Arabidopsis thaliana: one gene and its partner. Each later gene encodes a partner of the first gene's protein in a complex. Each region holds a gene or a part of one and is shown on either strand. Other genes may lie near its edges. The genes, in order: LSM6A and LSM1A.

What was found.
Region 2: LSM6A (region 1) and LSM1A share a complex: the UniProt entries of both Arabidopsis thaliana proteins name them as parts of the heptameric LSM1-LSM7 complex.

What each region holds. Positions count from the first base shown.
Region 1 is NC_003074.8:22,094,324-22,098,575, reverse strand, and holds LSM6A (Small nuclear ribonucleoprotein family protein), read right to left. Parts: upstream 2,108-4,252; 5' UTR 1,980-2,107; exon of another isoform or gene 1,761-1,979; 5' UTR 1,736-1,760; coding exon 1,621-1,735; intron 1,156-1,620; coding exon 1,042-1,155; intron 957-1,041; coding exon 910-956; 3' UTR 610-909; downstream 1-609. Other genes in the region: LETM1 (LETM1-like protein), read left to right, coding at 1-100, 184-287; AT3G59800 (stress response protein), read left to right, coding at 2,402-2,488, 2,892-2,993, 3,424-3,559, 3,651-3,697, 3,791-3,979. UniProt on the Arabidopsis thaliana protein: Component of LSM protein complexes, which are involved in RNA processing. Component of the cytoplasmic LSM1-LSM7 complex which is involved in mRNA degradation by promoting decapping and leading to accurate 5'-3' mRNA decay.
Region 2 is NC_003070.9:6,606,407-6,610,055, forward strand, and holds LSM1A (Small nuclear ribonucleoprotein family protein), read left to right. Parts: upstream 1-1,708; 5' UTR 1,709-1,881; coding exon 1,882-1,942; exon of another isoform or gene 1,943-2,090; coding exon 2,091-2,159; intron 2,160-2,246; coding exon 2,247-2,362; intron 2,363-2,465; coding exon 2,466-2,528; intron 2,529-2,678; coding exon 2,679-2,756; 3' UTR 2,757-2,963; downstream 2,964-3,649. Other genes in the region: AT1G19115 (uncharacterized protein), read left to right, coding at 38-98, 206-507, 633-777, 1,060-1,079; AT1G19130 (RmlC-like jelly roll fold protein), read right to left, coding at 3,139-3,459, 3,567-3,649. UniProt on the Arabidopsis thaliana protein: Component of the cytoplasmic LSM1-LSM7 complex which is involved in mRNA degradation by promoting decapping and leading to accurate 5'-3' mRNA decay.

The DNA of each region.
Region 1 (4,252 bases):
GTCACACCTGATGAAGTTGCGGCTGCTGCAATGTACCTGAAAGACACACTCGCTAACGACGGCCTTCAACAACTAATCAGTAGTCTCTCCAAAGATAAAGGTAAAGAACAGAGCGATCCTCTCCTTCTTGAGCTCTTATCTCCCTGAAGTTGATCTTTTTTATAAATCTGTTATTCAACAGAGGGAAGAATTATGGTGGAAGACATTGTAAGGTTGGGGAGATTGGGAAGCAAGCCAGAAGAAAATGCAACGGAAGAAGAATCAAGCTGAAGGAAATAATACTATGATTTTAAGACACACATAGACTTTTTAATACTAGTGAAGAGAGTTTTATTGAGAGAAGCTCTACTTCATGTTTTGCTGCTTAGACATAAGCAGGCTACTTACATATACAAGCGGCTAAGAATACGAGACCTTTTGCTAGTAATGTGAAAAGAGGTTGAAGATTAAAAATAACATTACGCCAAGAATGATATCTTGAGCGTTTTATTTCAATGGAAACTCCTGATTCAAATGTGTCGATGGCTATGAATATGATAATCTGATGATTGACTGGTTATACTAGTTTGACATGTGTGTTTCCAGTGATCCCTAAATGACATAATTCGATTACTAAACTTTAATGATCTTCCTCGTTTCGATCTGTTGGTCACCCAAACTCAATTTTGTTTGCTTGTATGATTGTATCAAGCCATAAATTAATAATTTTTCTTCTTTATCTGGGGTCACATGGAAGAGTATCATATTACTAAGAAAAAAGTGATGTCTGTATCCCAAAAATCTACTGAAGAACATAGGATGACAATCTTGGTACATGTCTACTACTCTTTTAATATGAGGTAGAAGAAGACAACAAAAATGGCAGCCATAACATGACCACTGTTGTTGTTGTTGATGATCATGATGGGCCTAGGCTCCGTCTGCTACAGTCATGTTTACTGTACTGATGTAAAGAACTGCATCCAAAGAAACCACACTTAAAAAGAAAGATATACAAAGAAGAAGATTGAGAGAAGGATGAGTGTGAGAGATTTTAGTTACCGTTGTTTCCACGGATAAAGGCGTCACCATATTTGTTCTTGAGCTGCCCGTTTACATACTCCTCCGTCTGCTCCATTGCTATGTTCATATATCCATCAAGACAAGTAAGAGTGCCTGTGAAAAGAGTAATAAAAACTTGATCAAGAACTCAACATTAAGCTTGAACAGAACATAGACAAAACTGACTCGGGCACGAAAGGAAAGAAGTCAACAAGAATGATATAAGTAGCCTTGATAATGAGAGAAACTGACTTAAATATTCAAATATCTCAGTCAACTATTGTAACCTTATTGCAGGCAGAAAGGAACATGTTCTTAAGAAAACCATTGAACAATGTTCACAAGGAAACCTTAGAAAATGTAAGAAAAGCTTCACATATTGACTTTAAAAGAATCATTTAAAAGCTGAAGACATAACATGATAATTAAGTTACTTAAGTGGGCTTAATACAAGCAACTCTTTAATTCCCTTAACATAGACAAAAGAACTAGTCCTAAGTCAAAGCTTCTAACCTAAAGTGCAGCAGAGATAGAGAACTTGCAAAACACATAAGAACATCTAACGAGAGAGAGAGGCACCTCGATAATCAACACCAGAATTGAGCTTGACAACAACGGGTCTCCCACGGATGGATTTGAGGAAATCTGCAGGTGTCTTTGTCGTTCCAGAAACTTTCTCTTCAACTCCACTCATCTTTTAAGCTCGATCCTTTACGTAACTGCAGAAACAATTGAGATCTGAAATCAGTTTGGTCGCTCTTCGAACTACAAAAACTCAAAAGGTAAAAACCATTCAGAGTCAATCTCTCGAATCACAAAAAGACTCCGAAACCTAAAAACCTAAACCTTCAACCCAATAGAAGCGAATTCGATTGAAAATGTAAAGAGAAATCGAAACTTTAACAAGGATTAAAGGAACTGAAAGAAGAACTCCTTACCTGAGACCTACTCGAGTACGAGACACAGAGAGAAAGAGAGAGCGAAGAAATAACGAATCGGTCCTAAGGGCTTTTATTATTTATTTCCAAAACTATATACTATATGATTATTGTTATTTCGATTCGATCGAGTTTTCATATTAAAACTAATAATAATTGAACATTAGTCCTTATAGATTTTATTATTTTACTTTGGAGGGTGAAATTAAATCTCCAGTGCGTTTCGGTTCGACCTCACAGTTTCTTCTGTTCTCGTCTCTCTCTCGTTTGCTTTCTCTACAGATCCCTAAATCCTCTCCCTTTGGACCGTTAATCCCCCAAACCCTAGATTTTACAAACAATTCCTCTCAATCTCTCTAAATTCTCTTTCTCCTGCAAGGAATTTGCGGACTGTTTCTTGTGGGGTAAATCTTCTATTAGCTATGGGGAAGAATCAAGCTTACAAGGCTATGCAGAGATCTAGGGTTGGTTCCAGCTCCGCCCAGCCGGATGAGGTTGAAGACGGAATGGTTTGTACCTTTTCATACTCTCATCTTCTTCATTGCAAATTGATTCTGTTTTTTTTTACTTCTCCAAACAAAATTCCAATTTGGTTGATTTACTTATGGTTTTGTTGATCTTTTGTGTTGTTGGGTTATCGAGCTGCATTTAGAATTAAGCCTACAAGAGATCCTTTATGAGTCCCAATTTTGGGGGAAGAACTTGTATCTAATACCTGCTAGGTCTTGTAGACGATATCAAGTCCATGTTTAAATGTGATTTCGTAAAAGTGTAGCATCAGAGTTTGTGTTACAGTGATTCAAGAGTCTTTTTATTGTTGTTGTAAGCTGTGAACACAAAGAAGCATTTGGATTAGTCAAACTTTGATATTTTGCATTGGTACCGGAACATTTCTGATGAGGATTGTCTCAGGTGGATGGTTCATTTCATACACCAGAGTGGCATGCGGCTCGTTTGGCTAGCCTCAAGACTACACATACTATTACCTGGGAAGAGTATAAGCAGAAGCAAAAGGTAATCTTTTTGCCTTTTTAATACTTAAGTTCTTCTGTATGTTGTATGGAACGGTGTTCCTTGTTATAATGCCATAGAAGATAATCAATTGACCATTGATGATTTAGTGTTCATAAGATTGCTATTATTGTCGTCAATTTAGAAGCTTTATTCCAACATATCATTTTCTTTTCCTCTGCTGTTTATCATCTTCAGCCACAGATACGCAGTCTTTGTGTGTTTATATAAAAATGAGTGTGTCTTCCTTCTACATTACATCTATCCCTATCTCGCGGTTTTCAAGTAACTCTAGTCATGCTCATTTTTTAAACATTTTTATTATCTGCAATATCAGTTTTTTACTACTACTTGCAGCAGTCTCTCTGTATTGTGAGTATGGAACATTAGGAAATGTTTAACATTATATCTTTCTTTCGTGTAACATGTGTAGGAAGAAGAATTGAAAAAGGGAGAACTTGAAGCAGATACCGATAAACTGATGCGTGAGTATAGAGCTCAGCTGGATGCAGAAAGGTCGTTGAAACTCTCCAAAGGAAGGAACTATTCTAGTGATAAGTCACGAAAAGGTAAACATAATCCACTTAACTTAACATGACATCTAAACCTTCTTTCTGAGGACGTTATTAACTGGTCGCCAATGGTTCAATGACCTCGCAGATAAGAAAGACAGAGATTCAAAGAAGAAGAAAAGCAAAAAGAGAAAGGTGCCTTCTAAAAGTTTAGCTTATATCAGATAGTGTGAGGTTTTCTAGCTTATGCTAACATGAACCATGATCGGTTGTGTTATGAATTTGCAGCATTATTCGTCCTCAGAGTCGTCATCTAGCAGTGATGAAGATGAATCTAGAAGATCAAGATCAAGTTCGAAAAGATCAAAGAAGGAGAAGAAGCACAAGTCCAGCAGAGACAAACACTCTAGCAAAAGTAAACACGAAACCGATGGCCCTGTACCACTCTCTAGATTCTTTGGCAATTTGAAGAATTGACAAAAGCAAAACTGCAAATGAACTATTACAAAGAGTAAGATTGTCTTCAATCAAAATACTCAAAGTAGGATATGATTGCTTTCTTCCTTGTTGCAATGTTATATTTTTGACAATAGCTCATGTATTAATATTTGTTGGATTGAAAGTCGCAATGATGCCCACAGAATCATGGTTTTTCAGTTTATTTGCTTAAAAATGAAATTTGACAACATCAAAAGGGAATCTAGCAGAAAATCTTAGCACAACAAAATTTCTGAGAGATGAAAAAATTAA
Region 2 (3,649 bases), on another chromosome or scaffold:
GATCGTGCAAAAATCTTGATCTTGTTGTTCTACACAGATTTTTAGTTGGGTTCAAAGAAAGCTTAGCGGAAAGAAGCGTGTGCCTACTTCAGATTCTTGTGAGTAAATATTCTTATTATTCATAGACTACATGAACAGTCTTCGCATAAATCATTTGAGCATATTTTCATATTTTTGTTTCATATGTTTGATGATGTATATATAGCTCAAGAACCATCAAGTCCTCCTTTGAGTAAAGAAGTCCAAGGTTTGCCTCAAGACGAAGAAACCTTCTTAGCCATCGGAACACTTGGAAACAATATCTTCCCCAAGCAAGAAGAAGAAGAAGAAGAAACAGATTCTAGCAAAGATATAACTCCGGTTAATACAGATGTTACTATCGGGAAGAAGAAATCGCTTTCTTTTCTTCTCAAGAAGATGTTTGTTTGCACAAGTGGCTTCAAAACTCCACCTCCTCTTCTTGATTTATCTAGAGGAGATTCATTGCACAACACACGAATGGAAAAGGTAAGCATATATGATCAAATTATTCAATCTTTAAACAAAATATTATTTTTATTATGAAAAGAAGTGAATTCAATAATAGTTATGTACACTAGAAACATTTTTTCCATATGTTATTTTGTGTGTAGATGCTAAGGACAATACTCAACAAGAAGATACATCCACAACGTTCAAATTCTATAGCAAAGAAGTACTTGGAAAGTAATCATAAGATTATGGATGAAGCTCGTTCAAGTGTTGACGCCAACAAATGGGTCAAGACTGATTCTGAATGTGAGATTTTCTAAAATTATATATATTTGGTTTTTCAGGTCGCAAAAAAAAAAAGTTTTATTTTAAACATACAGATGGTGTAATTAACCAAGTGAATATCATGACTGGCTTTATTGCAGTATTTAGTTAGGTCAAAAGCATATAATAAACATCATAAGGACTGAATTAAAATGCAGAAAGATGAAAAGTAAGAATTTAAAAATAGATAAATAAACAAATAGAAAAATGTAAACAAGAATAATGGATAGGGTAAATTAATTTAAATTTCTTTGATGGTTACAGATATTGTCTTGGAGATGTAGATATCAACCAATAAGCTAAATGGACCTGATTGATAGTCATGGTAATAATAGAATGTAAATAAAAACCAAAGTTTTTTCTTATTAAAAATTGATTTTCTATGTAAAATATAAAAAGTAGCAAACAAACATGATCACTGATTCAAGACAAATAATCAAAAATATGTTTTTCAGGTCTCAATTGAGTGATGGTGTAAGTTCAACTGTTCAAGATATGAAGAATAACATTGGAGAAGGGTCATAAAAATATCTCTGATAATCAGTGTTTACAGATGTATATTTACTTGTCAAACTCCATTTTTCATCATAGATTTGTTTTTATTTTTTCAGATTTTAATGTGGTGAAGAAAATCTGTTTGCTCATGTAAACTACAAAATATTCATCTTATCAAATAATTTTATTTGTATTTATGCAGTTTGAAATAAGTGATGAATAATGAAGAATGACTGAGATTTCTTGTTAAATAATAAAATGAAATGAAGGAAAACCCAAATGCAAAATAAAATGGGTTGATTATGCAATAGTTACGAAGTTTTGGGGTTTTAATGTATTTTTCCTAAAATTGAAAAAAAAACTCAGTCTGACCAAACTTTGACAGAACAGAATCGTGCGAGCCGTCAGACTTAACGAAAACGATCCATAGATCTCAAGTCTCTCTCTCTTAGTGAATAAATTAGGGTTCGTTGATTCTCTGTTCTTAAGCTCAGTAATCGAGGAGAAGAAGAAAAGGGAAGATCGGGAATTGGGAAACTGAGAAGTCAAAAAGGCAAATGCGAGTGGAGGAGATTGAGTTTTAGAATTCCAATGTCTTGGGCTGCTCCTGATGATATCTTCTTCTCCACTTCTCTTGCTGCTTACCTAGACAGTAATCTCTCTCACTCTCTTTCTCATTACTGATTCACCGGCGATGAATTCTGTAAAAAAATAAGATTTTGATCCCCAATGGTTGTTGAAGATGTTATCTTCTTCTACATGATTCAATAGTCTCTTAATGTTTTGATTTCTTGTTGCAGAGAAACTTCTTGTGTTGCTTCGTGATGGTAGGAAACTGATGGGTCTACTTCGGTCCTTTGATCAATTTGGTACTTGTCTTTCTCTTTTGCACCGAAAATCCAAAGTCTTTGAAATGGTTTTAAGAAATGTTTCGTTTGTTTTTGGTTTTCTTGAAGCTAATGCTGTTTTAGAAGAAGCTTATGAAAGAGTCATTGTGGGTGATCTCTACTGTGATATTCCCTTAGGTCTATACATTATCCGTGGAGAAAATGTTGTCTTGATTGGTGAATTGGTAAAGCTTTTACTAAACAAACCAATTCCTCTTGCATTTTGAAATGAAAGTTTCCACTTTTAAGAACGATTTCGGTGTTTGAATCGGGTTTCTGTGATCTTAGGACGTGGAAAAAGAAGAGCTTCCAGCTCATATGGTTCAGGTTCCAGAAGCAGAGATAAAAAGGGTTAGTGCAAATATCCTTCTCTCCCTTGTTGATTGCTTTAGCTCTGATTTGTGAGCTTCTTGCACAAATGTACTACAGCTGATTTGCTTTTATTTGGTTTAGTGTTTTGGATTCTACTGACTCCTCAATTACTCTCTTCCGTATACTCAGGCTCAGAAAGCAGAGAAGGAAGAAATGCTTTTAAAGGGCACAATGCGGAAAAGAATGGAGTTCCTTGATCTCGATTAGGGCATTTTCCTATGTGTTGCAGCATTGTAGAAACTAGAAGATCTCAAGATGGAGGATACAGAAGATCCTTAAACGTCATAATGTTAGTTGATGTGTGTATGTGTGGATGACATTGATGAATCCTCAGAACTTAGTCGTTGCAGATCCTCTGCTCTGTTTATGGAATGAAATTGTTGAGCCTGTTCTTTACTGGCCATTTATTTGATCAATCACAATTCAGTAAAAACAAAGATACAAAGATGAAAAGTGAACTCAAAGTACAGTTACAACCTTTGTATGATTCATATGAAAAGTTGAAGTAACAAAGCAAACATAGTATCCTTCTCTTAGTAGTTACCAAAAACCATTGAGCCAATAAGGCGTCTCCTCTAGGTAGGCCCTTTCACTCCGGGTAAGATAGCATTGTGATGAGTGACTCGTGTTGCGGAAACCTTGATAAGAGATCAGAGCGTTTCGCGAGCTCAAAGTCCTCGAACTGGAAAGCAGGAGCGCAGGTGCAGCCAACAAGAGAGAAATGGTTCTCAGAGTCTCTAGCCTCAGCTTTAAGCAGAGCCCCGTCTTGAGAAAAATGAACATCCTTTGTAGGAAACGAACCAAACCAGACGTTTGGAGGGACCGTGTACTGAGGCTTCTGATCACCTTCAAACAAGTCAGGACCAAGACATGTGAATTTCAACTTCCCATCATCGTAGAGTTCCACTACCTGATCAAGGCAAGAAGAAGAAGCCATATTCAAGAACATGGATTATATTCTTCTTCTCATTATACAGTTTTGTTCACTCACTGTAAAGACAAGAGCTTTGAACTTACAGTAAGGGGTTCACCCAAATAAAAGTGCCAGGTTTCAGCCATTGGTATGCGATGAAGACGAGAAACGCTCCCAGATGGAAGCA